Regions from separate parts of the Mus musculus genome. Here region 2 is reported to be linked to region 1. The links are microRNA targets in miRTarBase. Many come from high-throughput screens and were not tested one by one. Region 1 holds a microRNA gene; the other region holds the end of a gene's coding sequence.

Evidence for each region. Region 1 holds the annotated microRNA mmu-miR-3092-3p (GAAUGGGGCUGUUUCCCCUCC, at 2,800-2,820, opposite strand). A microRNA usually pairs through its seed, bases 2 to 8, with sites in the 3' UTR of a target mRNA and lowers its output. Matches are read on the target gene's strand: a 7mer-m8 pairs with bases 2 to 8, a 7mer-A1 pairs with bases 2 to 7 and ends in A, and an 8mer does both.
Region 2: the mRNA of Klhdc9 is a reported target of mmu-miR-3092-3p. Seed matches in the 3' UTR shown: 8mer at 887-894.

The regions. Positions count from the first base shown.
Region 1 is chr3:27,582,116-27,586,182 of GRCm38, forward strand. It overlaps Mir3092 (microRNA 3092), which reads right to left and starts at 2,880; the gene lies at 2,785-2,880. The region is part of intron 3 of Fndc3b (fibronectin type III domain containing 3B); the gene reads right to left.
Region 2 is chr1:171,355,452-171,359,506 of GRCm38, reverse strand. It overlaps Klhdc9 (kelch domain containing 9), which reads left to right. Exons shown (of 4, transcript NM_001033039.2): 3 at 1-52; 4 at 527-1,058. The coding sequence ends at 693. It overlaps Pfdn2 (prefoldin 2), which reads right to left. Exons shown (of 4, transcript NM_011070.4): 2 at 2,889-2,977; 3 at 2,679-2,802; 4 at 253-1,657. The coding sequence ends at 1,481. Among named protein-coding and RNA genes, the nearest start is that of Klhdc9, 3.3 kb to the left of the region's middle.

The sequences.
Region 1 (4,067 bases):
GGAAGGTTGTGGTGGGGCATCTGGCTAGGTGAATTTTCCATACCAGCACGATGATCTTCTGCTCTCCGAGTCTATGTGCCCTGAGGCACGTATCTTATAAGCACTGTTTGAAGGGTCAGGGATTCTCAGAGGCAGATGCTGTTCTAACAGGGACCCACAGTGACAGTGGCATGGGTTAATGTGGGGACAGGCCACCTGGGCTAGCTAGATTCCAGTCCTCACAACTGTAAGCTCCAACAACCTGTTCAGCTACTTAACTTCATTGATTTTTCTATCTGCACACAGGTGTGTAGCTAAGTGAACAAGCCTCGGAATACCACTATCCCTGTTAGTGAATAATGAAAGATTTCCAAAGTCACAAACATTACAGTATTTCAGATTTTTAAAGAAGCAAAGAAAAACAAGTCTTCACAGCTCTGGTTTTCTGGAGCCATCACTTATTATTAGAGAAAAGACGGCACTATTTTCATGCTCCAAAAATAGAAGAGAGTACCTGTTGCCATGGTGATCAGTGGTGGAAATAAGAGCAGCCTGCCACAGAAAATTTGAAATGGAAAGCCTAGCCAATTACCTATGAAGGGCATTGCAGGGGACAGAGCGGAGGTGTGAACCCCCTACAACTTTATCTCAAGTACAAAACATTTCTTCCTCATCCTGACAACTATGCTGTTACTATGACAATATAGGAATTAAACCTTTCTGCATTCTCCCTTTTAAGAGAGAACCATGATAAAACAGTAAATGATGTTTTAAAAATTAGAAACAACTGTGAGCATCAAGTTGTTATGATCAAAATGTATTATTTAGACAAGGTCACTATTTTCCCTGAGCAAATATTAGTGTTAAGGAAAATGCAGAGTTCCCCGGTTGTAAAGCCGAGCAAGTGTGTTCGGCTTCCCTGTTCTGCATGAGCACTCATTCCTAAGTCCCTTCTTCCAGCAGGTAAGGAGAACATGCAGCAAGGAAACAGGGGTGCACACAATAGAGCCATGAGCAAAGGCAAAGGGACACGCTGTATTAAAAGTGCCTCGGTGGAAGGAGGCGTGTGAAGACCCCCACACTAAGCATGTCCTGATACCCGGGATCTAGAATGAATGACCGAGAGCAAACCATCTACAGCGTGCTCAGTGTAGAGCCCTGGACTGGAAACTCACCGACCCCAACTTCAGCCTCACCACTCTACATAGGAACAAGCAAGGAGGACTGTGCTGGGCTACTCTGCATCAAATGCTGCTTCAAATAAAAATAGGAGGCTGTTGAGATGGCCCAGTGGGTAAAGGGCGCTGTTGCCAAGAATGATGGCCTGGGATCAATCCCTAAGAACCCCATGTTGGAAGGAGAGAGCCGACCTCTGTGTGTGTACCACAGCACATGCAACCCTGTGCATGTATAGAAACATAAAATGAAGTGCGTGGTGAAAAATTTAATAAAAATAAGCTGTTAGGTAGGACTCGATGTATATTCTTCAGGTTGAGTTCTAATTTTATTTTGTTTGTTTGGTTTGGTTTGGATTGGTTTGGATTTTGAGATAGGGTCTCTCTATGTAGTCCGGGCTGTCCTAGAATTCACTATATAGACCAGGCTAGTCTGGAACTCACTGAGATCTGCCTGCCATTGCCTCGAAAGTCCTGGAATTAAAGGTGAGTCCCCCCACGCCCGGTGAGGTCTACTTAATGGTAATACATATAGAGGGTTTGGTCAAGCATATCTGGATTTATCTTCAGGCCAAAACTCATCAGTGTTAATCTATGAGTTATAAAAATAACAAGGTCTTATATTTTTACTAAGGATCACTGTTGTTTGTATTCTGACACACATGAGAGAGCTGAGCCACACTATCGAGTCATATATTCAATCACTTCTGTAACCTATGACTGTCCCACTCAAACAGTGGCAAACACAAATAGTCAATGTATATGTAAACAAAGCAATTACTTTACTGTCTGCATATTATCAGTGCTGGATACAAATAAAGAGGCCACATTTTTAATGTAACACATTTCCATTTCTTAAAGTATTATATATATATATATATATATATATATATATATATATATATATATATATATATATGTATGTTTTCTTTTCAAGTGTGTTCTAGCCAGGAGTGGAGTTCACGTCTATAATCCCAGTACCAGAGGGCTCTGAGGCAGGGATACTCTGAACATAGAATAAGACCCTGTCTAGGAAAATGTAAAATAGAATTCCAATACTGATTATTTTCAAAAGGAGAAATTTCTGACGTTATAAACCAGGAACATAGAACAACTTCAAAGCTGATGCTTTCTTGAGACATGGGAACAACATTTCAGGCCTGCGTTCCTCTTATTGCTGAGTTTGTGTCCGTTACAGCTGACACCAGCTCCACATGCAGGCCGGGAGAATGTTCCCGATGACCTGGAAGGGCTCTCTGCATGGAGTGGTAAGGGTCACACCCAAACACCCTAAGCCGCAAGACCAGGGTTTCACAGTTCCTCTCCCTGCGGTGGTACAGTAAGTCGGATCATCCTTAGTTTGGAAGCTCAAGTCACAGAAGCTGGGTTACTTAATCCACTCTGGGTAAGAAGGAAGACACTAAGAAGCCACAGTGAGGTGCTGGTTGGGAAGAGATGACATCTCCATGGTGACTCATAGGAAGTGCAAGAGAGGACAGGGTAGGGGAAGCCGCAGAAATGGAAACTCTTGGACCTCAGCCTCACTCCACCTTCCCCGTGGAAGCAGCTCTGTACAAAGGAGGACGCTGGACTCCTCACTCTCCCCTGTCCTCTCAGCCTTGGGCTGGAATAAGATTGCAGGACAGGAGGGGAAACAGCCCCATTCCCAGACACAAAGATCAGGAAACTGGGAGAAAGGCATTTTCCCCTCAGGTCCAGCCTCTTACAGTTTTGCCAGGCCTTTGCAGGGCTATCAGGGCAGCCAAGGCGTCTGGGGACAGTTTCCTGTGAGGTCACCCCACATGTATCCTACCCATAAATCTTTAAATTTTGAACTGAACCAAAAAGATGACTATTTGAGATGCTTTTGCAAGGATGTCATCGAACAGCTCAGACCCCAAATCTGGAGTTTTGTTTTTTTGGTTTTTTTTTTTTTTTTTTTTTTTTTTTAAATCATCAGGATGGTGAAGAGAAACGCACTTCGGTCTCAGACTTATTTTGATTAAAGTGAAACAGAGGAAGGGACACAGACTCAACTTCTTGCAGTTTCTGTAAACAAACAAACAAGCAAGCAAGCAAACAGAGCAAATTGACTCAGCTCTGCAGGAGAGATCACAGCCCTTCTGCCAAGGGAAGGACAGACACAGTGAAGTAATTTCAAGAATGTTAAAAGCATGCCAGTCCTACAAGCCACCCTTACCCCCTCCCCACCCCCGCCCCAGCTTCCAGTCTTTCTTCTGAGATACACGTAAAAACTACAGCCATTCTCTTACCTCTCTCCTCTCCCTCTCCCCACCACTTATCTTTTAACATCTGAGTTCCCAGGTGACACGAAAGGCCTGCATGTCAGAACAGCAGCATACACACTTATACCCTGGATCTCTGAGAAGCAAAGACAAGGGATTCCCACAAAACTCACACAGCACAACTATTTCCTTATAAATAAAACAAGCAGAAAATTTACCAGATGGGTTGTCTGTCTTTGTAAACAACTAAATTCTCAAAGGCAGGTCAATAGACTCTATTCGTTCATTACATAACAATAGTTGAGTTTTCTCATAGCTAGCATAAGCATATTCTAAGTAGAAGGTTAATGGGATTACTGGAAAGCACCAGGAATCAGGTTCTGTTTATAAAATGAATACACTCCTTTTCAAATCTCAATTAAAAATAAAAGACACAGATCTCTGCAAAGCATCTAAATTTCTAAATACTTGAACACAGGTATGTAAGTTTTGCAGCCCTGACTATCTCTAGCTTCCTCAACAGAACTCAACTTTAAAATGCTGTTTAAAACACACAAAGGGCTTTTCAAAGGAGAGGTCCTTTTGCAGGAGAGAGTGTGTTCCATGTCTATGCAGATGGCTTGTCACTAATCAATTTCCAACTACCAGGCGTGGTCCAGGGAAGATA
Region 2 (4,055 bases), not on the chromosome of region 1:
CTGACCAGAGCTAGAGATACGATCTGCAATGATCTCTACATCTACGATACCCGTGAGCGCCAAGCTATCATTTGAAAGGGAGGAGAAAAAGACACAGCTAAAAATTACAAAACAGGGGTGGTGGGATAGAAAGGAGGAGAAATCAGTTGATGAGTTAAAGGAATGCAGTCCGGTTGTGGTGATGTATGCTACTCAGGAGGCAAAAGTGTGTGGACTGCTGAAAAACAAACAAACAAAAAATAGAGCCAGGCATAGTGATTCACACTTTTAATTCCAGCACTTGGGAGGCAGAGGCAGAGGCAGGCAGATCTCTGGTAGTTTTTGAGGCCAGCCAACTTGATCTAGAGTGTGAAACTAGCCAGGGTGACAGAGTGAGACCCTGTTTCAAAAACAAAATACAATAGACAATATAAATACTGAACATCTGAAAAGGCTGACAAATCAAACGGGAACGATGACAGGCATGCGTACTGGGTAAGGCCGGAGCAGAATGCCACAGTAACCACCTTCTGCTCTCAACCCACAGGCAAGTCTCCGCCTCTGTGGTTCCACTTCCCCAGTACAGACCGTGGACTGAAGCGCGTGGGCCATCGGACTTGCCTTTGGAATGACCAGCTTTATTTGGTTGGGGGTTTTGGTGAGGACGGCAGGACAGCTAGCCCACAGGTTTGCATCCTGGAATTCTTCATCTAAAGAACAGCAGGGAGGCACTCTGTGTTGTGGCAAACCTACAAAGCGATCTCATCAGAGCTATTGCCCTACTTCAAATACTTATTAAATTTCAATCCGAGAGTTTTGTCTCTGAATCCTTTAGAAGATTTATACATTTTACTTATATAAGTGCCCTATTTGCATGTACACCTTTGTGCCAGAAGAGGGCATCAGACCCCATTATAGATGGTTGTGAGCCACCATGTGGTTGTTGGGGATAATAAAACAGATGCCCCCTGGAAGAGCAGACAGAGCTCTTCACTGTTGAGCCATCTGAGCCATCTCTCCAGCCCTCTGAATCCGTTTTAGAAGAGCATCAAATAAACAGATTACTTTATTTGCAAAGGAAAGACCGAACTGAGGTTCCTTTCTGATAGTGAGCCATTAACCTGGTAGAAACAATGCAAATCATATTTTTTTGTTTTGTTTGAGACAGGGTCTCACTGTGTCTATATATAGCCTTGGATTACTGGGAACTCGATTTGTAGACCAGGCTGGCCTGGAACTCCGAGATCTGCCTCTTGTTGTCACCCAAGCACTAAGATTATTAAAGGCATGTGTGGCACCACACCCAGCTCTATGAGGTCGGTGTAGCCCTAAATGAGATAAAGGTTCAGGCTATAGCTAAGTATTTGACCAAAACATTTAATCAACAACAACAACAAAAACAAAATATTACAATAGCAGAGAAATAATAATAACGACAATAAAAAGAAATTACAAGTGGGAATCAGGGTAAAAAAAAAAAAACCCGCAGAGGCCTTAGCTCCTAAGAGACCAACACCCCTGCTGAGCTGGCCTTAGCCCCAGCCCCTTCTGAGTTTTCCTTGGCTGCTGGCTTCTCATCTTCCCCCATGAGACGAATGTTGTGCTTTTCCCGGAATTCGTTCAGTTCTTTGCCCTTTGCCTGAAGCTGCTGTGACAGTGTCTCAATGATCTTCTGTATCTAAGAGGCAAAAGAGAGGATGGAGAAGGAGTGCAGGTCTCCCTCCTCTGCCCCGGACTGTGCTACAGTTGGAGGCAGTGAGACAAGAACACAGTGGCTTATAAAGGGGAACCATCTGAGCTACTTATTTTCATTATTCTTTGATAATGTTATAAAAGCATATGATCAAACAGCCCACTCTCATCCACTTGCCACCAACCCATCCCATCTCATAATCGTATTTCTCTGTTTTGTTTTGTGGCCCATGAGTCTAACCTGGAGCACCCTTGTGGGAATGGATGGAGATACCCACAGGAGCACTAGTGGCTCACCAGCAGCTACATCACTTAAGACAATTACTGTCCCCTCTCCAGCAACTTTCCACCCTCAGTCCCTGCCCAGGGAGGGTGGGTTGCTTGCTCTTAAAAGAGCATTTGTCATGCTATGGTTTCTTCTCTTAGGTCACATTCATTTTTTTTTTAAGTGATTGATTTTTAGTTAGCCCAAGCAGGCTTCAAATCCGATTCCTCTGCCTCATCATCTCAGCAAGTTAAACATCAATGTATGCCACCCCAGTCAGGATTCTTTCTCCCTTTAAAAGGTCACTTATGGTTTCTTTAAGGGTCTGGTTCCGTGGATCGAGAGCTCTTAAGAAGCTGCATTTTAAACTGGTCCTTGGCTGGAGGTGTAGCTCAATGAGAAGAGTATTTAGCCTACTGCGCATGAGGCCCTGGGTCTGATGCCCAACACTGCTAAACAAGTTCTTCAGGAGATTCTGACTCAGGGATCCACAGACTATATTGTGAGAAACACTGCTCTACCCATTCCCTCCCCACTCAACCACATCAAAGAGCCCATGGAAAGGGCACACAGCCAACAACTCCTCACTTAAGGAGTTGGACTTCAACTTTGTAATAGTATAAAGGGCACAGTAGATAGCTAACAGGCTGCATGCTACCATCAACATGAATTCCCTAAATCCCTAGTCACCTACATTTAACCTCTTGGCTGCCCAAACGCCTATAGAGGAATTCTTGCTCACCTGCTCCTTGTTGCCCTCCAAGGCAGGCAGCACTTCTTTGACAGTCCGCTCCACCAGCACACCTCCAACCATGCGGTAGCACTTGCGGGTCTCATCCACTTCCTTCAGTGTATCGATCACCAGGCTAGGGTAGGAGAACAAGACCTCAGAATGCGTCCTGATCCCCACAAGCCTCCATCCAATCACTCTGTTTCTCTGCGGCCTTCCTACCTGTGCTCATTCAATTCCATCTCCAGCTCAGCTGCTTTGGAAGCCAAGCCCCTCTGTTCCTGCCGAAGGCGATTAAAGCCAGCAATTACCTAAGAGATGAGAGATGAGACCGTGAAAACACCAGAAAGTAAAGGCAGCCATAGGATGGCAAGTTACAAAGGCACAGTAGTGGATAGCTATCTTGGGAAGGGCATAGACTACATTCTTACTGAGTGCCTATATGTCTGAGATATTTACTAGTCACAGGGGGATTTAACAATAGATTTGAATGTGAGAGATGGGGGGGGGGTGAGGAGCCACTGGAACACCTACAAGAGATTTGCAGGTGAAGAGGGCTTTTTTATGTTTCCCTCCCCAACTTACTAATTTTTACTATATGTTCATGAGTGCTGTTATACCTGGAAGTTTGTATACATGTGTACCATGTTGGGCCTGGTGCCCAGGGGCCAGAAGAGGGCGACAGAGTCCCTGAAACTGGAGTTACAAATGGTGGTGAGCACTGTGTGTGTGTGTGTGTGTGTGTGTGTGTGTGTGTGTGTGTGTGTGTGTGTGTGTGTGCGCGCGCACCGGAAACTGAACCTGGGTCTCATCAAAATGTTTTAACCACTTTTCTTTTAAGTTCTTTTAACTACTGAGCTAGCTTGCCAGTTTGTCACTAATCAGAGACCAAGAGGGTGATGGGGTTATAGGCCTGATATGGGTACTGGAAATCAAACCTGGGTTTTCTTGAAGAGCAGTGTGTACTTTTTTAAAAAAAGATTTAATTATTTTATGTATATGAGTGTACTGTAGCTGTCTTCAGACAGACCAAAAGAAGGCATCAGATCCCATTACAGATGGCTATGAACCACCATGTGGTTGCTGGGAATTGAACTCAGGACTTCTGGAAAAGTAGTCAGTGCTCTTACCTGCAGAGTCATCTCTCTAGATGCACAGTGTGAAATCTTAATCATTGAGTCATCATCTTTACAGTCCTTTTTTTTTTAAAGACTTAAAGACTTTTTTAAAAAAGATTTATTTATTTATTATATGTGAGTACACTTTAACTGTTTTCAGACACACCAGAAGAGGGCATCAGATCTCATTATGGATGGTTGTGAGCCACCATGTGGTTGCTGGGATTCGAACTCAGGACCTTGGGAAGAGCAGTCAGTGCTCCTAACTGCT